Linked DNA regions of Caenorhabditis elegans. The protein of the gene in region 1 purifies or fractionates together with the protein of each later gene. This does not show direct contact. Each region holds a gene or a part of one and is shown in the gene's direction. Other genes may lie near its edges. The genes, in order: dpyd-1, gpa-10, nit-1 and ech-7.

Region 1 (8,127 bases):
CTAAAATTTTATTTTATATTGATAATACATCTATGTTAATTTTTCAGTACCGAATTTCTTGTCCGAATTTGCAAAGACATATATTCTGCAATGGCATACTTGGAAAGTATTCGGATAGTTCACGGACATTTCACCCCAAACAACATACTCATGGACGGTGAATTCCATGCAAAAGTGTGCTCGCCCCGAGGGCCATCACATCATGCTCAACTTCGTTATTCTGCTCCAGAATCAATTGTGAATGTAGGTGTCTTATTTATTCAAATATTATAATACTCTTTCAAAAATATTTTTCCAGAACGAATTCACTCATAAATCTGATGCTTGGGCCGTTGCTACAACGGTGTACGAGATGGCTTATCAGTGCCGACAGCGTCCATACGAAGAACTCACCAATGAGCAGATAGTTGATAACGCGTGTGCTCTGCTGGATCACCAACCAAATGCGGTGAGAAACTATCAAAATGAATAATTTGATAAATATTTGAAACTTTAATTTCAGGTTGTACCGTTGATGCCAACAGTTTTTAACTATGAAATCTTACAACTTTTGACGCGATGTTTCCGGGTGGACCAGTTGGAGCGGCCGACGTTTGAGCGTCTAGTCAAGCCTTTCCAAGACTGAAATAATTCATCTCAAAACAAAAACTTTACATATTCCACATATTCCTCCTTGACCCATTGATCTCTCCCAAACTCCATTTCTTCTACTTATTCAGGACTCACTTCATTGAGATTTCACTGACTTCTTTCCCAAAGTTTTAACCTACGAGTATATAAGAGAATCGAACTGAAAAAAAGATGAGATAGTTGAAGAGGTGACAAGGACATTGTCAAATAGTGTAGAATTTTTCGGCGCAAACTAACAAAAAAAAAGAAGATATGAGAAAATAAACGTGATCTTTTGGTTTGTGATCTTACTTTACCCGCCAATCAATCATCATTCTGCAATTGTTTTAAACCAATATTTCTAAACTGCTAGTTGTAAAAACTGACCTCTGCCTTCCCTCTTCACTATCTCAATGAGCCCGACCCAAGACAAGAGCAAGTGAGCCAATCGACCTGGACCACAGGTCTAATAACCGTTGCGCATCCCCCTCCGTCTCATTCCCTACAATTTGCTTTATTAACCCGTCTCTCTGTCATTGTTGACTGTCGATGTCTCTGCATTTTTTTCTCAGTTCTAGAGATCAAAAAGTATTTGTTTTCCGCTCCTCTTCCCAGAATTTTAAACCAGAATCAAAGTTTCAAAGTTTTAGTGGTGTACTCTGTTTATATGGTTTTTACGCGTATTGAATTTTTATTTTTACTTTCTTCAACAAATAAAATGTTTTACATTTTCTTAATGCTTTCCTTGGAGTAATGTTTATACCCTAATTATGTTCAAATGAACGAATTTAATTTTGAAACTTCTCAAAAATAGTTTTAGCAAATTTTATGGGGATTCAAAATTTCAAAAAATGAGTTCATTTTAGCAATAATCTTCAATTTTGTTTTTTTTATTACGTGTCGCAGCTGTCAAAAATTGATTATTTCCTCTTGAATTATCATCTCTTATTGCATATTTTGATTGTTTAGATCACGTTATTTGGTTAAGGCACTTTTTAGGCCTAAGGGTAACCAATATTGGTTAATTTTGGTTACCTAATGACTTTAAATGTATTTTAATCAACGTAATAACATGACCCAAACTACCAAAACATGCGATAAACACTGATAATTCAAAAAGTCAGATTTGGACCTCTAACGTGGCCAACGATTTCAGTAAGAATGAGCTCTCTTTTTCAAACTTTTGAATCACCAATAACATTTTAACTTTTTTTTTGAAAGGTCTCATTACGAAAATTGTTCATTTAGGCACATTTTGAGTATATAATCCCAATTCATCACGCGACATCAATCCTGACCAATTCACTTGATATGAATAATAATAATATCAAATCTCTCTCAAAAAGAGAATAAACCTGCTTTGAAAAATAAAAAAAGATAGGTAGACTTATTTGTGTTGACCGCTCAAATCGAGTGACAAAAACCTGATAAATGAACACGTGGCGCGAGATGATTTGCAGTATATAGAAAAAATCGGCTGTAATCTTATCAGTTCTGTTCGTTGATACAATCTCGGCATTCATTACCTTTCTTTTTCTCCTACTTTATCATTTTTCCTTTGATACAGTCAACCCCCGTTTTCGTTGGTCAGTCGACGCGCTGTCAGCGTATCGAAAGTCGAGAAAACCTTTTGTACCATCGCTTTGAAGTAGGATGTTTTGAATCAAAAAAAAAATCTAAAAATTGAAACTTTTTGATGGTGTCTATTCTCAGTTAAATTTATTTAATAATTTATATTATTTGACACTCATGTCGTACGACTTTTATGCGTTTTGTTTGTCAATTTTCATATTTTGTAAATTTTTCAACATCATATTTACAGCCATGACTCCAAAGCCAAATACTACTAGTCCAACCAATAATCTTCCTCTTCTCAGCAAGGACTCCCCGGATATCGAGGTATAGTTCTTTTAAAAAGTTCAAAATCATATTCAGTACTAAAACAAAGTTTCTGTTTCTAAGTCTGCCTTTTTGCTAAACTGATAAGACTTTTTGATAAGCAGCGCACGTGCAAGTGGCACGTGCAGTCCGATAGCAAGTTTTGGGAGAAACCTTTGATCTTCTGTTAATGGGCATACTAAACTTAAAAAGTTGTACAAGATAATTCCGATTTCAGAGTCTCCTCATCTTGAACCCAAAAGTACAAGACAAGGCAAATGCAGTTCCAAGTGCGGTGACAAAGAAAAACAAGCACAACTGGAAGAGAAACGAGGAGAAAGGATGTGGATCTGTAATTTTGGAACTCAGAAGATAAAACTTCATTTTCAATTTTTCAGACCTGCGGAGAATCTAAGCTCAAGAATGACTTCCGAGACATCAAGCACACTACGCTCAGTGAGCGCGGAGCTTTGAAGGAAGCGATGAGGTATAAAATAAAGGACAGTGTGACGTAGTGATCTATGAAAAATCAGATATAATGTGATACTGATTATTTTAGGGGTATTGTAGTTCGGAAACATTTTGAGAGAAGTGTGAAAGAAGTTTGAAAGGCAAGCAATACTAATTTTCGGAACCTCTACATTTCGTTTATAAAGTGCAATAAGAAAATTTTGCAATAAATTAAAGGGAGTGTAGTGTCAGTTAGGATTTTGTTCAAGTTTACTTTTAAATTGAAAGAATATCATACATATTTGAAAAATATATTTAAAAACAATTAATTAAAACATAACAAAATAATAAAGTTCGTGGAAAAAAAACTTTTTTGGTCGGCTTTTAATTTGAATTTATTGGTTTCAATAACTTAGTAACTGACAATTGTAAAAAAATGTAAAAATTGAATAGAACATCCTCACCGCTCTCTTTATTTTCATAAAATTAATTAGTTTTAAGTCTAAAGTTTCCTGCAAAAAGGACGTCAGACTCAAAATACTCACAGTACATTCTAACAGCCCTATTTTTGGAAAAAGGGAAAAGTAGATTCAGCAACCAACTTTGTGAAGTTAAAACTCATTTCTAATCATTTCTAAACTATCTTATCTAAACCCATGTACTTGGTATTTTTTTCAGATGTTTGAAATGCGCCGACGCTCCTTGCCAAAAAAGTTGCCCAACCCAATTGGATGTCAAAAGCTTCATAACTAGCATTTCAAACAAAAACTACTACGGAGCAGCTCGTCAAATTCTTTCTGACAACCCACTGGGTCTGACCTGTGGAATGATTTGCCCAACATCGGATCTTTGTGTTGGATCGTGTAACTTGCAAGCAAGTGAAGAAGGCGCTATCAACATTGGTGGTCTTCAGCAGTATGCTTGTGACGTGAGCCATATGAGTCTTAGTTGAAGTGTTATTCATTGTAATGTTCCAGGTGTTCAAGCAAATGAATGTTCGTCAAATCGTATCAAAGGAAGTTCGGGAGAACCGCAACGCTTCTCATAAGGAGCAAGTTGCTCTTATCGGATGCGGACCGGCCAGTATTTCATGTGCATCGTTTTTGGCTCGTTTAGGATATACAGATATTACTATCTATGAAAAGAGAGCTTACATCGGAGGGCTTTCATCTGCTGAAATTCCACAGTTCCGTCTTCCTTATGACGTTGTTGACTTTGAAATTCAGCTTGCCAGAGACATTGGAGTCCAGATTGAAACAAACAGACCTTTAGGAAAAGACGGTCTAACACTTGCCAAATTGAAGGAACAAGGAGCTGCCGCTGTTTTTATTGGTATCGGAAACCCAGAACCAAAAATTGATCCTCTCTTTGAAGGATTGACAATTGAGAATGGATTTTATACTAGCAAAAATTATCTTCCAGCTGTCGCGGCTGCTAGCAAACCTGGTAAGTTGGACATGATAACTTTCATTAAGGTTTTCGTTTATTTTTATAGGTATGTGCGGATGTAAGAGAACTCCACTTCCAACAATGAGAGGACGTGTCGTTGTGCTCGGAGCAGGAGATACTGCAATGGACTGTGCAACATCTGCTCTCCGTTGTGGTGCATCTCGTGTCACCATTGCTTTCCGCAAAGGTTTCACTGGAATCCGTGCTGTTCCTGAAGAGGTTATTCTTTTTTTCAAATGACAAAAATAGCTAAATGTTCATTTCAGATGGAAGCAGCCAAGGAAGAAAAATGTGAGTTCCTTCCATTCTCAGCGCCACGAAAAATCAACGTGAAGGACGGGCGCATTGTCTCGATCGAATTCAACAAGACCGAACAAGATGACAACGGCAAGTGGTGAGTAGTGTAAAATTAGCGCAAATAAGGAGAATTCGGGTGAAATTAGTCATTTCGTTGCAGGTACGAGGATGAGGAACAGATTGTTATCTTGAAATGCGACTATGTGATTTCCGCATTTGGATCCACGTTGAAAGAAGACGCAGGTGTGTTGAGCGGTTTTTTTTCTTAAGAACTAACCGAGAGCTGACTTTGAAGATTACTATCACCGAGAGTTTTTGGAAATAAATAGTGATCTCTGATTCGCCAGCAAAAACATGTTTTAGCTTAGATTGATCATTGAATTCTTACAGTTTTGTCGGCTTTGCAACCATGCCAGTTGAATAAGTGGGGAGGAATTGAAGTAGATTCAACAACACAACAAACTTCGGAAAAATGGGTATTTGCTGGAGGAGATGTGGCAGGAGTCGCAGAAACAACCGTCGAATCTGTCAATGATGGAAAGGTTTGAAAATCTTAATGGGCAGAATTCTTATTTTGGCAAATATTTAAGATTGCCGCCTGGAATATGCATCGCTACATTCAATCTCTTCACGGCAACCAGGTGTCCGAGACCCCAGAACTTCCACAATTCTTCACCCCAATCGACGAGGTTGATATCTCCGTTGACATGTGCGGCGTTAAATTCGAAAATCCATTCGGACTGGCTTCTGCTCCTCCAACCACTTCTGGACCAATGTGTCGCCGTGCTTTCGAACAAGGATGGGGATTCATTCTCACCAAAACATATGGATTGGACAAGGACTTGGTCACCAATGTCTCTCCACGTATTGTCCGAGGATCTACCAGTGGACCACTTTATGGACCAAACCAAGGATCATTCATGAATATTGAGCTTATCTCAGAGAAATCCTGTGAATACTGGCTTCAATGTATTAGGGAGTTGAAACGTGACCATCCAACTAAAATTGTCATCGCATCGATCATGTGCGTCTATAACAAGGCTGATTGGATTGAGCTTGCAACAAAGAGTGAGGAAGCTGGAGCAGATATTCTTGAGCTCAACCTCTCTTGTCCACATGGAATGGGAGAAAAGGGAATGGGATTGGCTTGTGGACAAAGCCCCGAAATTGTAAAGGAAATTTGTAGATGGGTTCGCGCTTGTGTCAAGGTATGTTTTCCACTGTAATGTGAAGATTTTAAATTGCGAATTTAATAAATTTCATGAGTTTAGATCCCATTCTTCCCAAAAATGACTCCAAATATCACTGACGTTCGTGAGATCGCCAGAGCTGCTAGAGACGGAGGCGCAAGTGGAGTGACTGCAACAAATACCGTTTCCTCACTTATGCACATGAAGGCTGATGGAAATGCTTGGCCAGCAATTGGATCAACAAAAAGAACCACATACGGAGGAATGTCCGGGTCGGCTATTCGTCCAATCGCTATGAAGGCTGTCTCATCAATCGCTAACGAACTAGATGGTTTCCCAATCATGGCGACCGGTGGAATTGAAAGCGCAGAGACTGGACTCGGATTCTTGATGGCAGGAGCTTCAGTCCTCCAAGTTTGCTCCGCAGTTCAGAATCAAGATTTCACAGTTGTCGACGATTACTGTACTGGACTCAAGGCACTTCTTTATCTTTCTGGCGCTGAGTCACTCAAAAACTGGGATGGACAATCGCCACCAATCGAAAAACATCAAAAAGGAAAACCTATCTTGCTTCAAGGACAAAAGAAAATGCCATTCTTCGGAAAGTACAGGGATGAACGTGAAAAGCTTGAGGCTATTAAACTGTCAGAAAGCAACCTTTTGGACACCGAAAACTATCACTTTGCTTCGAGACCAGACACTCAAGTTTCGCGTGTCCCAACTGTTGAAGATGTCATTGGAAAAGCCCTGCCACGTATTGGCCCATATGTCACACTCGACAACCAAGAGCAGAAGGTTGCAATTATTGATGATGTAAGTATCTCAATATTGTTATGAACCGAAAACATTTTAATTTCAGGATATGTGCATCAATTGTGGAAAGTGTTATATGACATGCAATGATTCTGGATACCAAGCTATCACTTTTGATCCAGTCACCCATCAGCCACATGTTACGGAAGACGATTGTACTGGATGTACTCTTTGCTACAGGTACAAATATTACAACCCACTCCCACAAAAAAATTTTAAAAATTGTATTTTAGTGTGTGCCCGATTCCGGAATGTATAGAAATGGTGCCAAGAACTGGGCCATGGAAGGCTCCAAAACGTGGTGTGAAGCCATCGGTCGAGCCAGGAACTCCAAAAGTCGTCAAAGTTGACCAACGTGGAAGAGTTATCCTAGATACTACTGGTGGAATGCAGTAACTTTTATTTGTTTGGTAGTTTTTCTGAATTTTCGTTTCACTTATCACTTACTTTCTTCCGATTCGTTTTTTTTGTTACATCTTCTAGTGTATGCATTGTGTTTTTCTGTCTAAATTTTATTCATGCTAAATCTTCCCTCAAAATAAATTACTCAACAATTAAAAGGACATGTACAGAAAAGGAATCCCCTGAACAGAATGGATGAGATGCTTCTTGGCGCTTTCTAACTCGCTGTTGACAGTTAGGCTATTGTCTTTCACGTCATTCGTTTGCTCAAAGCTCCACACTAACTGTTTGTGTGACAGAGAGATTGGAAGAAAACGGCAAGATGGTTCAAATCTTTGTCCGAACAATTCGTGCTACTGAACTATGGTGCAAAGATGTTTCAGTTTCCGAATATATCTGATATTAGATATATTATGTAAAATTCACTATGCCATTAATATGTAGTACTCAATGACATCATCTTTGAAGGTGACGTTCATTAGAATAATATGCCATGTTCCGAAAACGCACCGGTAAACAATACCTTCTGCGGGCAATAAATACTCGGATCAAACTGACGTTACTACGAAAATTCGTCATTTGTGAGAAAACATTTATGATTAAAAAATTGATTTTCTTAAATAGTCATTTCAAAAAATCTGTAAAGAATAAGTACTACATATGTAGACAATTACAAATTCCCATATTTCTCATGTGAAATTATTTTCAGGAAGTATAACTATTTCTATATGTTTTTTTTAATGAAAATTGAAAAAAAACTCACAGTCAAAAAGGAGAAAATGTGGATTTTGTAAATGTGCCAAACCCAAAATATCGATGTCAAAAAAATCTCAAGAAAATTTAAAATTTATATTCAGCATTTCACATTTTCTTCAGCTTCATAGATGTTTTGCTGTATTCTTTAGTTTATTGCACAGAACTTTTATGAAGAGCATAAAAATAGTTTTTAAAAATCAGAAAATCAATAGTTTTCTTCGTAATTCAAGCTTTGTGAAAACATTTGAAGCTTATGTTTTTACAGCTCCAAAATGTTTTTTTC
Region 2 (5,714 bases), on another chromosome or scaffold:
AACTAATTTTTAAAAATCTGTACGTTTCTACAACTTCTTTCACCTCAAAATTCAAATGCAAAAACTTGTCAGTTTATCTAATTTCCTAAACACTTCGAGAGTGGGCATTTCATAGGTACGGTCGGTTTCTGGAATTTACCCTGGTCAGCGAAAAAAAAATCTGCTCGTGAGCAAGAATTCTCAAAATTGGAGATTCTGGTTCCAGCTGGTCGAAAACATAAATAAAATACGTTGTCTGACTTTTTTTTTGCTATAAATATCTCTAAATGTTCTAAAGTCACCATATTATCCCAGACAAAAATTCCATGATCTGTTTATTAATTTTCACAAAAAAATTTAGGTGATAATTCTGACATTTGTGATCTGAAATCGTTTAAAAATTATTTTGAGGTTCGTAAATGTAACTTCAAAAATCATTCTTATCAATGTTTAATTCCGGTCTTTCCAATATTTCATACAAAATGAACGAACTCCGAATTTGGCTTGATTTTATTTTAATCTTGGCATCTTGTGGTGCATGATTCGGCAAGAATAATTCAATATCAGAAAGTTCGAACATAATTTTTTTGCAATAATCTTTCCGCTTTTATTCGTTTTCAGACTCACAAAGACATTTAACTCATTTACTTTTTATTATTTTAGCTAGTGAAGTTTGAGATTTGGTCCCAGTGTTATTATTGATATCAAGACCAGATAAACTTGTTTCCGGTTTAACTCACAACAAAGCTAACGATTTCCGTTTGCGTGTCGTTTAAAAAACTTTACTCAATTGGCGTAGTTCTCTCTTTTTCAAAACGCTTTTCTAATCTATCTATTTTTCTGACCAGCTATCATAAAACCATAGCAACATAAATGTTTCCCTATAGAGCATCGGGTATTCTGTTTTTTTTTGATTGATAATATAAATATATCTCCCTCTAACCCAAATACACAACCAACAATCACATTATCTTTTTTCCTTCTTTTTGATCATTCCCACGCTCAAGTAGTCTCGCGATTTTTGAGTGTATTTCATTCAACATGCAAGTCAGAAGTTGTTCTCGTGTTTTTGTTTTGTTATTCACCTTTTAGTTTCTTTGTTACAGAGAGGCTTAATTGGGAATCTGCGGTAGTCAAGGAAACCGGGGGGAGAGGACCGCCGCTAATCATCACTACCTTCCTTCTCATTTCATTTAATCATAACTTTGCTTTTTTCCCTTTTCTTCTCTCGTGTTCTCCACAACTTTTTTTTTACATTTTTGTGTTGTCACGACTTTTAAGCCTATGTGATTTTAAATTTGTGTTGAGCTCATGCGCTTTTCGGAAAAATTTTGCGAACATAACGATTACAACTGGTTTCAAACAAAAATGTAATTTATCGCCATTTCATTTAAATATTTCTTGACTTTGACGGGTAGTGAAAAAGTGTTCAGATGTTTTTCGGTGAACCAAAATCTGTGGTTTTAGAGAAAGTTTCCAAATGTCATTTTGAACGTTCTTGAAAAACTGGTTCATCTTTAACATTGAGACAAAAAACAATTTGTGTTAAAGAAAAAAACATCCCAATCTAAAGTACAAATCTACAAATCTAAAGTAACTATGTTCTTCACGTGCTACCATGTTGCTTTTTCATGGAAAATTATGGCGTCACACAAGGTCTTGAAATTTAGGATTTACCTATCTCTCTTTAAGTCTAACAAGTTCTTTCGAAATTATATTGTCGTTTCTAGTGTTGATGACTTTTGAAAATTAGTCAACGAGTTTGGTTTCATCCCGAGTTACGTATCTATTTATTTTTTTTTTTTGGTACATATTCAGTTTGTCGCGCGGCTTTGAAATACGGGTTTCAAATAATTTTTTTTGAAGGAATGTTCTCTTGCATTGATGGATTTGAAAATTCTCATGAAAATAGTAACTTTTTTTGACGAAACTTGTACATTCTCTCTGAGCAATACAGTGGAAATTGACTTTATTTCCGGTGTGAAATCTACATTTTCGTTGCCGAAAAGTCTGTTCAGTTTGTCTCGACAAGCTTTCTGAAACTTTTTTTTTGGCATGACAACATGTTTTGTTTTTTTTTTTCTGATTAGTCATTTCATTTGTCTCGTTGTCTAAGTTGAATCTCGCTGGCATCCTATAATTAAAGTTTGCGTTCTCTATCATAATCGTCATAATCTTTGAATTATTTTTGTTCTTTCAAAAATTTCAATATATGTTCAGGGAAACATGGGGGTCTGTCAGTCATTTGTACTCACTGACGAGATGAAGGATCAGATCAAAGTTAACAAGTCAGTTTTTGAGTTACATGTTTCATAATTGTCGTTAATATTTCAGAGAAATAGAAAAACAGCTCGAAAAGAAGAAAAACATGCAATTGGAGCAAACCGTTCTTCTACTGGGGCCTGGTGAAAGTGGAAAAAGTACTGTCATGAAACAGATGAGGTATATTTGATTTTTTAATAATTCTTGTACATGACCTAATATTTTGAATTAACAACGGGAAAATAAATAGGTTTCTGATTATACCTTGGGAGTTGTGTCTGTTTCTTTCTGTTTACAGTTTGAAAATTAATTAATAACTATTATATTTCCTGTTATATGGGTAGCCAAACATTCTATTTTCAGAGCCATGACTGGAAACTACACAAAGACAGAACTACACGAACGAAAAGTGCTAATTATACAGAATTTATGTCAATTTTCTGAGATGTTGTTAGAATACGTCAGAGAATATATTTTGGAGATGACGGAAGACGATGATAAAGTGAGTTTTGCGACCTCTCGGGTTTTATTAGGTTTCAAATTAAAAACTTTTAGCGATATACTGTGATGTGCGAAGAACTGAAAATGGCGGTAATTCATGATGGAATAATGAGACCTGAACTCGCCGATACACTGAAGGAATTCTGGGGAAACAGTGCAATACAGGACGCGTATTCCAAGAGAGACACATTTCATTTGACAGATAGTGCCAAGTAGTGAGTTTTTTTTTTGGAAACTTGTAGCGCATTCATAGTTAGAATTATAGAAAAATGTTTCAATTGATTCAAAAACACGTTTCAAAAATGTCTGAAATGTTTCTTAAAATATTCTTTTATGTCACACAGTTATTATTTAAATGTTTCGAGTTATGTATATGTTTGTTCGTTCACAAATAAAACCAAACTACAGACATTGTTCGTGTATCTGTCATTTGGTCTAACGGAACATGTAATTAACAGGTCTAGAAAAAAAAAATTGTGATAGTGATCGCTGAAGTCTATGATGTTAACTTGTTTATGTTCTTGTTCTAGCAGGCAAATTTTGCAATAAAAAATCAATTGAATAACTACATTAAATTATCTCAAAATTGTGTTATTTGAACTTAATAATTCATTTTCAGTTTCTTCGACAACATCGACCGTATAAAATTGCCAGGCTTTGAACCGACAAATCAGGATATTGTTCACATACGGGTACCTACAACGGGAGTTGCACAAGTCGAAGTTATTATGAACAATATCAAATTGATGATTTGCGATTGTGGTGGACAACGATCTGAAAGACGAAAAGTTGGAAATTTAACTATTTCTTTGTTTCCTAATTGAGAATTTAATTTCAGTGGTATCACTTTTTCGATGAGGCTGACGCTGTTCTTTTTGTAGCGGCTATTAGCGAGTTTGATCAGAAGTTAGCGGAGGATGAAGAGACGGTAATTTTTCCAAACAGCCACAAAATTGAAACGAAAAATTAAATTTTAGAACCGTATGCATGAATCCATCAGATTGTTCTGGACAGTTTTTAATGGAAAGTTTTTCAAAAAAGCGGCAGTCATACTTTTCCTGAACAAAATTGATTTGTTCGAGGAGAAAGTAAAACATGTGAAGATTAAGGATTACTTTCCAAAATTTGAAGGTTTGTTTTCCAAGTTTTTGAATTCATAGTTTCATGTTTCAGGAGCAAACACAGTTTCAGAAGGTACAAAGTTCTTTCGGAGACAATTTAGAGAAGGGATTCACCCGGACTTCAAAAAAAGAATGTGAGTTTTTGAGACTACAGTTTTGTGTCTACTGCACTTTTGAAAATCTAACTATGAACTTACAAACTAAAAGAATTCTGAACGTATTCGACTTCTTGGATATTTTTGACTTTTTTGTGCCAGTATGGAACACTAACAGTACTAGAAAATAAAATGTAAATTTCAAAAACGTAATTTTACAGGTACACCCATGAAACATGTGCAATATCGGATCAAGTTCAAATAATCATCAATACAGTGATAGATACAGTTATTCAAGATAATCTCAAAGATACGGGAATGATATGAACTCCAATCGCTCTGCACAAATTATTGTTCTTCAATTTAGTATCTGCCTCAAACAACGTGTGTGATTAGTAATAATTATTCCCTATTCTATTTGAGTGGTGTCATTTTTTATTGATTGAAATTTATCGTGACTGAAACTCTGATGAAAATTTGTACTAATTTTCAGTGTAAAGTGAGAACCAAATAAGATTAAAGGAACATACATATTTATTCGAATCTCTTTTAGAAGAAAAATGTTCAATCGTTTTTACCTGACTTTTCACATCTTCTCAAACAAAAACATGCGACAAGATAAATGGACAGAATTCCAAAAATATACGGAAAGATAATAACAAGGTATACATCTAAAAGATTTCTTTGAATGAATCCAAGTGTCCTCCCATATGGATCCATTTCCGGGAACGGACCAAATTTTGCAACAAATTCAGTGTATTTGACTACGGTCTCCTTGGGATTTGTTGGTTGGTTTCTCAACATTTCTGCCAGTTTTTTAGAGTTCTTCTTAAAATGATCGTCGTTCAAAATTGAATAAATGGAATTTTTCACAAGTTCCCTTTTCCAAAGATCGTTTCGACTACAAGAACTCCTCCATGTCTTGCCAACATCAAAGAATTTCTGTTTTGATCGGCAAATACTGGTACCATTAATGCTGGTTTACCAAGATACGCAAGTTCAGTTGTGCTACCAAGACCTCCATGTGTCATGAATGCTGTTAAACGGTCATCATTTAGTAATGCGGTTTGAGGAATCCATTTTGAAAAATGAATATTTTCAATTTCTTCTGCTCATTGCAAATCATTTGTTTCATATTTCCAAATAAGCGTTACATTTGGTAAAGATTTAATTGCATTGAAAATTTCGTCTCTGAAATACATATCTGATTAATATTTTGATTACAACAGTGTGAAAATTATTAAAATAATTATAACTTGAATATGGAGTGGAGTTTTTGGAGTTTTTGCCTGAAAAACTGGCTTGAAAAAAAATGAATTCATGGCTCGAAAACTTCAAAAAAAAAAAAAAAAAAACTTCATAAGAAATAAATTATCAAAATATGAAAAATAAGAAAAAAATATGAAAAATAAGAAATAAATTATCAAAATAAATAGAAGCTTTTAGTCAAATGTATCTCTTTTTCAAAATATGAACCTTTAAAATGTCAATAGTTTGATGCATTTTCAGTTGATAAGTAGGCAAATCTTTCAGCTTTTGTGAGTCTATCGACTGAACAGGAATGGTTCATCTAATAGAAGTCACCAGGTTTACATAAGTCAAAAAAAAAGAAGACGATGTCTACTAATATCTACATACGTACCTGAACTGTGAAGGCATATCCACATTATCAATGAACCAAAAGAGATTAGCATTGTTTGTGGTCTTTTATCCAAAACTTTACTCCACTCCACTGGGAGCCTTTTCGATTTTATTT
Region 3 (4,690 bases), on another chromosome or scaffold:
CGGGGCATTTCAAAAACCGGTAGAATAAATTAATATATTTCAGAAACATTTCGAAAAGCACGGGAAGGTTATGCTGATGGACTATCTGGAGCAGGAAACTCTAAAAAAGGAACGAATAATCATGAGAAATGAGCACTGGACTTGGCTCGTACCGTACTGGGCATTCTGGCCGTATGAGACAATGCTTCTACCAAATCGACACGTGGAACGATTCACTGATTTGGGAGAGGTTCGTAAATTTGAAATTATAATTTAAAAATGGCAAAAATTCCGCTATTCCAGGTTGAAAAGCAATCACTCTCTGAAATTCTTCGTTCTCTACTCATCAAGTACGACAATGTCTTTGAATGCTCATTTCCCTACATGATGGGATGGTCTGGAGCCCCAACTGGCTCTTTTCTGACTGAAAATTGCTCATTTTGGCAGCTCCACTTGTCATTCTTCCCGCCACTTCTTCGTTCGGCGACTGTTCCGAAATTCCTTGCTGGATATGAAGTTTTTGCTGAAAAACAACGGGATCTTTCGCCGGAGATTGCTGCAAAAACGCTGAGCGAGATCGATGAAGAGCATTATTCAAAGAAATTGCAATAAATTTATTAACAACTTTAGTTAACAAGAACAAAACAATCGAATAAACATTTGAAAAAAAACAATTAACTCTCTCTAATAAACCTGGCTTGCACAAAAATCCGCGGAGCTTTCAGGCCTTTTTGATGATTAACCGTCATTCTATGTAGATACTCCTTCCGAACACATCGAAATCCAGATTTTTCAAAAACCTCCGAAAGCTCATTCAAATCAAAATAATAAGCTCTGGTGCCGTCTTGTCGAACATAAAATCGATCGGAAATTCTTGCTTCCCGGCCGAAACGAATCATAGCGTGATCATTGATACCGTAATCCCGGACTACAACAGAGCCTCCAATCTGGAACAAAAATTCCAATTTTATGTTGCTGGAAATTAAAAAAGCACTCACTTTTATCATTTTTCTTACATTTTCCGCTGAAATTTGATGTTTTTCGGGATGAATCGCGGATAGCACAAAAATAAGTGTAGCAAGATCAACTTGCTCTTCGAATGGAGATGAAACTGAAGGAATTGACAAATCCACGACAGATGTTGCTACGGAAAGCTGAAAATTTAATTTTAAACGTTTCATATCAGAGTTTTTTGCACATACTTCAAGCTCTTTTGCGCGTTCCTCCAACAATTTCACCGCGTTGTCCGAAAAATCGAATGCAAAAAGTTTCAGATTTGGAATTTCAGCGACTAATGGGAAAAGCATATTGCCGACGCCACATCCAGCTTCCAGATAGGAGATTTCTTTCTTAAATGAAAATTAAAAATTTTTCAGTGCAATTTCAGAATTAAAACCTCGAAATCTATGTCTGGGCACATCATTTTCAGATCTTCTGCACTCCAATTCCGATCCTTGAAGAAATTGTTTTTATTTCGATGATAGAATTTGTCCCAATTTTTTCGAGCGTCAATTTCCAGTTTATTTCGCTTGAAATCGCTTATACTCGTCTGAAAATTCATTTTTAAGCGTTTTTAAAAATACAGTTTTAGTTAAATACCTGTTTTGCCAGCTTTTCATGGTCATCTTCTGTTAATTCCCTTGAACTTTGACTTGAAAGAAAGCCCCCATCATCTGACATGTTTTCTGGAAAATTTTAAGCTTACACTAGTGTGGAAAAAGCAAGGAAAAAAGAAAAAAAAGAGGAAATTATGAAAAAAAAACAAAAAAAAATTAAAGTACAAAATTTCAACGACGCTCCGATCTCCCGCTATGTTTTGCGCGGAAGTTTAAATCACAGTTTCCAATTTAAATCTGAATTCAACAATTAAAAGCGACTAAATAGACATTTTCGTTCAAAATAAATATTTAAGCAAACATTCTTGAGCAATGTTCATAAAATATTGATCTTGTCGCTTCAATGTCCCCTCGAAACAACCCAATTTGCTACAGGCAAACTATAAGTGACTACAAAAGAATAGAACAATAGATCATCATCATCTTTTAATGAATGATATTTTGAACTTGCCTACGTGACAATTTACAATCTCATCGATGAACCCTCAAAGAAAACATTCTTATCATATCACTAATTGTCATCATTTTCATTTCGTCAGCCAGACCATGCCGAGTTCATTTTTGCCTTTGATGACTTGTTGGTCGCTATATAAAAAGAATACATTTTTTAGTATTTGTAACATCCCATAGCTTTTTTTCTTGGTTTCATACTTTTTTAAAACATCTGTGCAGACAGTATTTTCAGCTGCATAGGTGGCCAGGTGGGCTTTTTATTTGTGGCCGCGAAAATGGAAAGCTCGGCCACGAAGCAAATTTAGCTGAAAAATATCCTTCTTTTCAAACCCTATGCTCCTTTTTTCAGATTCAAAATGCCAAAAATTGCAATTGTTCAAGCGGGGACCCCACTATTTGATAAACCAGCAACTCTGGAAAAAGTTAAGAAAAATGTGGAAGAAGCAGCTGGAAATGGAGCTGAACTAGTGCTCTTTCCTGAAGCTTTTATTGGTGGATATCCAAAATGGAACAGCTTTGGAATCACAATGGGCACACGAACTCCAGAAGGAAGGAAAGAGTTTAAAAGGTGGGATGACCAAACTTTGAAATCACATACAACTCGAGTGTCTTTTGTTTTATCACAAAATTGTCAACTGACAAAATATGTGCCATTTCTTTTTCTACATTTTTTTGATGTCTTCACAATCGGCCGAGGCATAACTTTTCTGTTATAGATACTTCGAAAACGCCATCGAAGAGAACGGCGAGGAATCGAAGCTCATCGAATCTCTAGCAGCTCAGAATAATATCCATATTGTAATCGGAGTAGTTGAACGAGAAGCTTCAACCTTATACTGCTCTGTATTCTTTTACTCACCCTCCGGTTACCTTGGAAAGCACCGAAAACTCTTGCCAACTGCTCTAGAAAGATGTGTTTGGGGACAAGGTGATGGTTCAACAATGCCTGTGTTTAGTACAAGTGTTGGAAAAATTGGAAGTGCCATTTGCTGGGAGAATTATATGCCATTATATCGAATGACGCTTTACAGTAAAGGTTAGTAAATTTAATTTAACACCTAAATTCAAGAAATAATTAATTTCAGAAATCCAAATCTATCTAGCTCCAACTGTCGACGATAGAGATGTCTGGCTCTCTACCATGAGGACTATTGCATTAGAAGGAAGGTTAGTAAAGACCCTTGACTTCAAATTGCCTAGCCACATATTTTGAAACCTCTCGATCCAAAATTTTGAGATCTTTGACTCTAAATTTCGAGTCCCTTGGCCCAAATTTTAGAATACTTTATCTCAAACTTGATGGGTCTTCACCTCCAATTTTGGAACCCCAGACCGTTTTCGGCCCCTGACCGTTCAAACTTCGAATTCTCCCAAATATTTTCTTCCAGATGCTTCGTAGTATCTGCATGTCAATTCCTCAAATCCTCCGACTATCCCTTGGATCACCCACTTCGAAAAGAACACGGTGAAGATAAAGTCTTGATTCGCGGTGGATCATGCGCAGTTGATCCACTTGGAACTGTGCTCGTGGAGCCAGATTTCACAAAAGAAACGATTCGCTACACGGAATTCGATCTTTCTGATTTAGCTCTTGGAAAAATGGATTTAGACGTCGTCGGACACTACAGTAGGCCGGATGTATTCCAGTTGAAGGTCAATGAGAATTCACAGAGTACAGTAGTTAAGAAGTGAATTTAATTTCAAAATTTATTGTTCTAGTCTTGGAGGTGTGACTTCAAGGTCCAATGAATTTACAAATAAAACAATTTTTGTGTGAATTTTTTTTGTGTCGATCGCAATAAAAGGGGGAAAGCAGAAAATGATTAAGCGATGACGTGGCAGGGGAAGGAAAAATCGATCGATTCGATGAAGAAGAAGAGGACAAAAGTTGGAGGAAAATTCATTAATAATAACGAGACCAGCTAGCGGTTGAGCTTGTATAGTTGTGTGGGCGATAGCTGTTGAAGTGACGAAGACCACTGTTTCCATAACATGACCAGTACCATGGGGCAGCTCTGTAACGGACTCTATGCATCATTATCTACGTGCAAAAAATACTCACGTGGTTCCGAGATACTTGTTACTGTACATGTAGGAGCTCAAACTTTTCGGGCGGCTGGTGATGTCATAATGTGTTTCATTGGCAAGATAGGAATAGCCGGAGTATCTGAAACAATTTGAAAATTTTAGATACAGGTATAAATGGAATTCTTACCCTCGTCTGGTTGTTATCGGTCGACTTTCAGCGGTCAACTGCGGAGGCGTGTAGCTGGGTGTTAATCCATAATTCCTATCAAATGAATATGGCCGTCTGTAGTCTCCCTCTCGTCCGTACACATATCTGAAATGAAAAATCAAACAATTTTTGCATTTTAATGTGCTCTGTGGTTCTTGCCCAATAAAAAAGAATATCCTAGCTTCTTTTTTTATTTCTTCGATTGACATTTTGACGCCTTGAACTCTAGATGTTACACTAGAAAAGAGAAGATGCAGAACATTTTTTTGAACAGAAAATCTTCTAGAGATGTAAAGTTTGTCAAAAACATTTCGGAACAACAGGAACAGAAAAGCAGCATTTGACCCGCAAAAAAAACCCCAACGACTTACTTATAAATAGGATAACTCCAGGTTCTCAATCCATA
Region 4 (5,140 bases), on another chromosome or scaffold:
ATTAGTTCCAGTTTTCCCCTTATTGGCTCCGATTTGTGTGCTCGCTGAGCCCAGAATCATGCCATGATGTGTTGGTGGTGGTGTGCTCCTTATCACTGAACTCTTATCAATTTTTCTATTTTTCCGCTATACATATAAAAATATTGAATAAACCAGACTCCGGCGCGGACAACGACTGGCACCGTTTTAACTATTTTTTGAAGTAGATGTTTTTTTAACGTTCAACAATTCTTACAACAGACAAAAGAAACTTTGAAAATTAACAAATCATTGAGTTATACCAAATAGTTATTCATTCAGAAAAAAAATCAATTAGGCTTATTGTGAAACTTTCGGAAATCCAGATTTCTGTGAAAATTTTCGGAGAAAATTGAAGTTTCAGAAAAAACCCTTATAGTACTACCATATCTCCCACTAACCCCTAAGCAATAACCCTTCAAAAGACGAAAAGTCGATTTTTCTACAACTACAGTAACCCTATCTTATACCTACAGTACCCTACAGTACCACTACAGTACCTTGATCATATCCCCCCACCAACTCCCAACCCAATACCTCTTCAAAAGCTAAAAACTCATATTTTGCCAAACTACAGTAATCCTACAGTACTCCTACAGTATCCTTACAGTACTACTACAGAACCCTGACCATATCCCCTTACTAACTTTAAGTCAATATTCCTTAAAAAGATAGAAAGTCAATTTTTCTACAACTACAGTAACCCTGCCGTATACCTACAGTACCCATACATTACTACTACAGTACCTCGACTACGACCATCGGACCAATATCCCTTCAAAAGATAGAAAACCAATTTTTCCAAAACTACAGTAATCCTACAGTACTCCTACAGTACCCCTACAGTACTACAGTACCCTGACCATATTCCCCTACTAACATCATGTCAATAATTCCCAAAAGGGCAAAATATCAAATTTCCCAAACTACAGTAACCCTACCGTATACCCCTACAGTACTACTACAGTACCCTGACCATATCCCTTTACTAACTTCAAATCAATAATCCTAAAAAATACACAAAGCCAATTTTTCTATAACTACAGTAACCCTATCTTATACCTACAATACCCCTACAGTACTACTACAGTACCCTGATCATATCCCCCACCAACTCCAAACCCAATACCTCTGCAAAAGCTAAAAACTCATATTTTGCTAAACTACAGCAACCCTACCGTATACCCCTACAGTACCACTACAGTACTACTACAGTGCCCTGATCATATCCCCCTACTAACTTCAAGTCAATATCCCTTCAAAAGACGAACAGTAATTTTTTTTTTTCCATAACTACAGTAATCCTACAGTACTCCTACTGTACCCCTACAGTACTACTACAGTACCCTGCTCATATCCCCCCCCCCCCCCCACTCACTCCAAACCATCATCCCTTCGAAAGACAGAAAGCCAATTTTTCCAAAACTACAGTAATCCTACAGTACTACTACAGTACCCTGACTATATCCCCCGTTTTTTGTCCAATTTCACAAAGCCAAAAGTGTTGTCAATTTCCAATTCCACTTTTTATTCCAGATGATTACCCTCTCACGTACCGGAGCCGCCGAAAACGTTGCACTGATCACTCTGAACCGCCCGAGTGCTCTGAATGCTCTCTGCCGTGAGCTTATGCTGGAATTGTCTGAAAATCTGCTGAAAGTGGAGAAGGATCAGTCGTACCATGTGATTGTGCTCACTGGAAGTGAGAAGGCATTCGCTGCCGGAGCCGATATCAAGGAGATGGCCAAGTTGGAGTTTGCAGATGTTTTTGAGAATGAGTGAGTTTTGGTGTAGGCGCCTGCCTGCCTACGTGCCTACATGGTGTCTATTTGTCTTGAGGGTAGGCAGGCAGGCATGTAGGTAGGCACGCAGTCAAGTACAAAGACCGGAAGATAGTCAGGTAGGCCGGTAGGCATAATACAAATATCTAGGCAGATGCATGTAAGCATGTAAGCAGATATGATTATGCGGTAGGGACCAAGGTAGGCACGTAGACTCGTAGGTAGGCGTGCATGCAGGTAGGTAGGTAGGTAGCCAGGTATATAGGGTAACAAGCAGGCAGGTAGGCACATTTAGGCAGGCACACTGAAGACAGGGCCGGTAGAGATGGCTGAGCAAAAATCGTGTAGGTAGGCATGCATTAGATAAGCGTGAGGTAGGTAGGCATGCTTGCAGGTAGGTAAGTATGTAGGTACGTAGGAAGGCAGACAGATGTAAGTTGATAGGCACGTAGGCAGGTAGGTTTGAAGGAGGCAGGCACAAACTAGGCATCTAGGCATGGAGAAGGCACAAAGGCAGGCAGACATTAGGCAGGTATATGGACGTGTGGACAGCGAGCATGAGGCCCGCATCAACCTAGGTAGGCAGACGTATAGTAAGCATGTAGGCAGGTAGGCACAAGCTAGGCATCTAGGCAGACAGGCAGGCACAAAACATACCTAATTTTCAGCTATTTCACGAACTGGGACACCTTATCACACATCACAAAACCTGTGATCGCCGCTGTCAACGGATTTGCCTTAGGCGGAGGCACGGAACTTGCCTTAATGTGTGATATAGTATATGCTGGAGAGAATGCAATATTCGGCCAACCGGAAATCACCATCGGAACCATCCCCGGATTAGGTGGTACCCAACGATGGCCCCGGTATGTGAGCAAGTCAGTTGCCATGGAAATATGCCTATCAGGCGACCGACTAGGCGCTCAGGAGGCGAAGGAAGACGGCCTGGTGAGCAAGGTGTTCCCGGTGCAGCAGTTGGTTGGGGAGGCTGTTCTGTTGGCTGATAGGATCGCTAAGAATTCTCCTCTTATTGTGAAAACTGTCAAGGTACGTTTTCGGGAATGCCTACGCCTGCTTACCTGCCTATTAGGCATGGAATAGGCACGTAGGCAGGCAAGATGTAGGCACGATGTAGGGCCGATGTAAGCACATAATCATAAGGTAGGCACAAATTAGGTATGTAGGTAGGTGTAAACTTGGTAGGCATTAGGTAGGCAGGCAAGCTAGAAGAAAATAAAAGAATAGGTAGGCATGAAATAGGCACGCGGGCAGGCATATTTTAGGTAGGTATGCGGTAGGCAGGCAGATAGGGAGACATAAATAAGGTAGCTATGTAGGTAGGTAGAAATGAGCACCTAGGAGTAAGGCAGGTAGGTAGGCAGAGGCATAACATAGGTGTGTAGGCATGAAGTAGGAGACAGCCATGTAGGCAGCTAGGCACGTAGGCAAGAAGGAATGCATGTAGGCACCTAGTCATAAGGTAGGCAAGAGGCAGGCAGGTAGTCGTAAAATATGTAGGCATGAGGAAAACAAGTAGCTAGGCAGTCAGGCATAAAATAGGTAGGTAGGTATGAGGTAGGCGCCTAGGCATGAAGTAGACTGGTAGGCATAAGGCAGGCAGGATCGTAGGCAGCAAAAAGGCTGTGAATAGTCAGTGAATAGGCAGGTAAGCAGGTATGAGCTAGGGGCCTAGGTATGTGGTAGACATGTAGGCATGAGGTAGGCACATAGGCAGACATTATATTCCCAATTTCTTGCAGAGATCCCTAAACTCGGCCTACCAAACCAGCCTAAATCAGGGCCTTGAAATGGAAAAGCAGTTGTTCCAGTCGACCTTCGCCACCAATGACCGCCGGGAAGGAATGTCAGCTTTCGCAGAGAAACGGGCTCCCAAATGGACTTCAAGTTGAAAAAAAAAAACGTTTTTTTTTTCTAAAAATAAATTAATTTCATTAACTCTTTGAAGGAACTTTGGGGTGGTTTTTGGGGGAGAAAAAAAGGGAAAAAACACACAAAAACACAATAAATTATCCCGAAATGTAAAGCAAAGACACTAGAAAAAAAGGGGAAAAATGACTATAAATAAGTGAATTTCAGAAGAAAAAAAATACTACTGGAATAAATTAATGATGATGTCCGCTGTGATCGTCGTGTGAATGCCCGTGGTGATGTGAATGATCATGCTTCTTCTCTCTTATCACACTTCCGCGGACTACCTGAAATTGGAGAAAATTTGAATGTTTACCCTTTTTTTCAATTAAAAATGCTCAACATTTGAGAAAATTTCATAAATTTCAGGAACAATTTTTTAACAATTTTTTTCAGAATTTTAGCATTATTTTTTAAATAACGATTTTTTTTTATTTCTGAAATTTCAACTTTCTCTCATTTTTATAGTCGAAAATTAACTGAAAATTCCGAAAAAAATTAAAATTAATTTTTAAAAATTACGATTTTTTTATTCAGAAAATGTTTTATTTGACGAAATTTAATAATATTTCTAAAAACTGCAAATTTCAGATTTTTGTTGAAAATTGGAAAAAAAATTCATTTGGAGCATTTTTTGCCGTTTTTATATTTTCGATAGTAATAAAGTAATTAAAAATTTCTGAAATTGGAAAAATCTACAATTTCAGATATTTTTAATACTTTATATATTATTACTATCGAAAATATAAAAATGGCAAAAAATGCTCCAAATTATTTTTTTTCGAATGAAAAAATTCAACAAAAAAATCAGAAATTTGTAGTTTTTAGAAATATTATTAAATTTAATCAAATAAAACATTTCCTGAAAAAAAACAACTTTTTTTTTGAAAAATTGTCATTTTTAAAGATATTTTGTCCTCTAAGCAACAAAGCATCCCGTACCGTATAACCAGCTTTATATCCAGGACACACTTGTTGTATCCTGTGTGCAAATGTCTTTTTCTCAACTTGTACAGTTGAGTGGGTGGCTCCAGTGCTCTTCAGGATATTCGAGACACGGTGTCGAATCATTTGTGCATTCGCTTCTTCTTTCACTTGAACGTGTACACTTGCCACGTTGATATCCGATTTGTGCTGCCACATGTGTGCATTTGAATACGATTCTACGTGCTCGATCTGTGCAAAAATTAAGGGGTTTTTTTTCAGATATTTAAATTTTTTGTTCAGAAGCTCAGAAAGTTTCTTAAAATTTCCAACAGCTTTCTAGAACGTTTCAGAAATTTTCGGACAGTTCTGAAGGAAATTCAGAAAATTCTTGAATTTTTTCAAAAAGTTGCAGAAATTTCCACGATGTTTTTTAGGAACTCGCAGAAACTAAAAAAAACAATATTTCTAGAACTACAGTACCCCTA

What was found.
Region 2: the proteins of dpyd-1 (region 1) and gpa-10 fractionate together in Caenorhabditis elegans (co-fractionation; one large-scale study listed by BioGRID). This does not show direct contact.
Region 3: the proteins of dpyd-1 (region 1) and nit-1 fractionate together in Caenorhabditis elegans (co-fractionation; one large-scale study listed by BioGRID). This does not show direct contact.
Region 4: the proteins of dpyd-1 (region 1) and ech-7 fractionate together in Caenorhabditis elegans (co-fractionation; one large-scale study listed by BioGRID). This does not show direct contact.

Annotation. Positions count from the first base shown.
Region 1 is NC_003284.9:5,465,439-5,473,565, forward strand, and holds dpyd-1 (Dihydropyrimidine dehydrogenase [NADP(+)]), read left to right. Parts: upstream 1-2,431; 5' UTR 2,432-2,433; coding exon 2,434-2,508; intron 2,509-2,725; coding exon 2,726-2,839; intron 2,840-2,885; coding exon 2,886-2,974; intron 2,975-3,615; coding exon 3,616-3,865; intron 3,866-3,914; coding exon 3,915-4,383; intron 4,384-4,432; coding exon 4,433-4,605; intron 4,606-4,652; coding exon 4,653-4,780; intron 4,781-4,843; coding exon 4,844-4,926; intron 4,927-5,073; coding exon 5,074-5,225; intron 5,226-5,273; coding exon 5,274-5,891; intron 5,892-5,954; coding exon 5,955-6,686; intron 6,687-6,732; coding exon 6,733-6,866; intron 6,867-6,919; coding exon 6,920-7,082; 3' UTR 7,083-7,245; downstream 7,246-8,127. Other genes in the region: ddr-1 (Discoidin domain-containing receptor A), read left to right, coding at 48-243, 299-448, 503-625. UniProt on the Caenorhabditis elegans protein: Involved in pyrimidine base degradation. Catalyzes the reduction of uracil and thymine. Involved in the degradation of the chemotherapeutic drug 5-fluorouracil.
Region 2 is NC_003283.11:6,851,295-6,857,008, reverse strand, and holds gpa-10 (Guanine nucleotide-binding protein alpha-10 subunit), read left to right. Parts: upstream 1-2,197; 5' UTR 2,198-2,205; coding exon 2,206-2,267; intron 2,268-2,313; coding exon 2,314-2,421; intron 2,422-2,604; coding exon 2,605-2,743; intron 2,744-2,796; coding exon 2,797-2,957; intron 2,958-3,361; coding exon 3,362-3,530; intron 3,531-3,580; coding exon 3,581-3,670; intron 3,671-3,719; coding exon 3,720-3,873; intron 3,874-3,915; coding exon 3,916-3,997; intron 3,998-4,179; coding exon 4,180-4,285; 3' UTR 4,286-4,488; downstream 4,489-5,714.
Region 3 is NC_003281.10:3,920,048-3,924,737, forward strand, and holds nit-1 (CN hydrolase domain-containing protein), read left to right. Parts: upstream 1-2,159; 5' UTR 2,160-2,179; intron 2,180-2,213; 5' UTR 2,214-2,296; intron 2,297-2,397; 5' UTR 2,398-2,404; coding exon 2,405-2,616; intron 2,617-2,764; coding exon 2,765-3,084; intron 3,085-3,133; coding exon 3,134-3,215; intron 3,216-3,436; coding exon 3,437-3,740; 3' UTR 3,741-3,826; downstream 3,827-4,690. Other genes in the region: ZK1058.3 (putative galactose-1-phosphate uridylyltransferase), read left to right, coding at 44-229, 283-591; metl-6 (tRNA N(3)-methylcytidine methyltransferase), read right to left, coding at 654-926, 978-1,133, 1,182-1,328, 1,376-1,528, 1,579-1,659; ZK1058.9 (uncharacterized protein), read right to left, coding at 3,952-4,063, 4,111-4,215, 4,264-4,389, 4,656-4,690.
Region 4 is NC_003279.8:14,366,188-14,371,327, reverse strand, and holds ech-7 (putative enoyl-CoA hydratase, mitochondrial), read left to right. Parts: upstream 1-1,554; coding exon 1,555-1,796; intron 1,797-2,467; coding exon 2,468-2,846; intron 2,847-2,854; exon of another isoform or gene 2,855-2,931; intron 2,932-3,559; coding exon 3,560-3,709; 3' UTR 3,710-3,712; downstream 3,713-5,140. Other genes in the region: bbs-1 (BBSome complex member BBS1), read left to right, coding at 1-5; slc-30A5 (Proton-coupled zinc antiporter SLC30A5), read right to left, coding at 3,923-4,015, 4,671-4,904.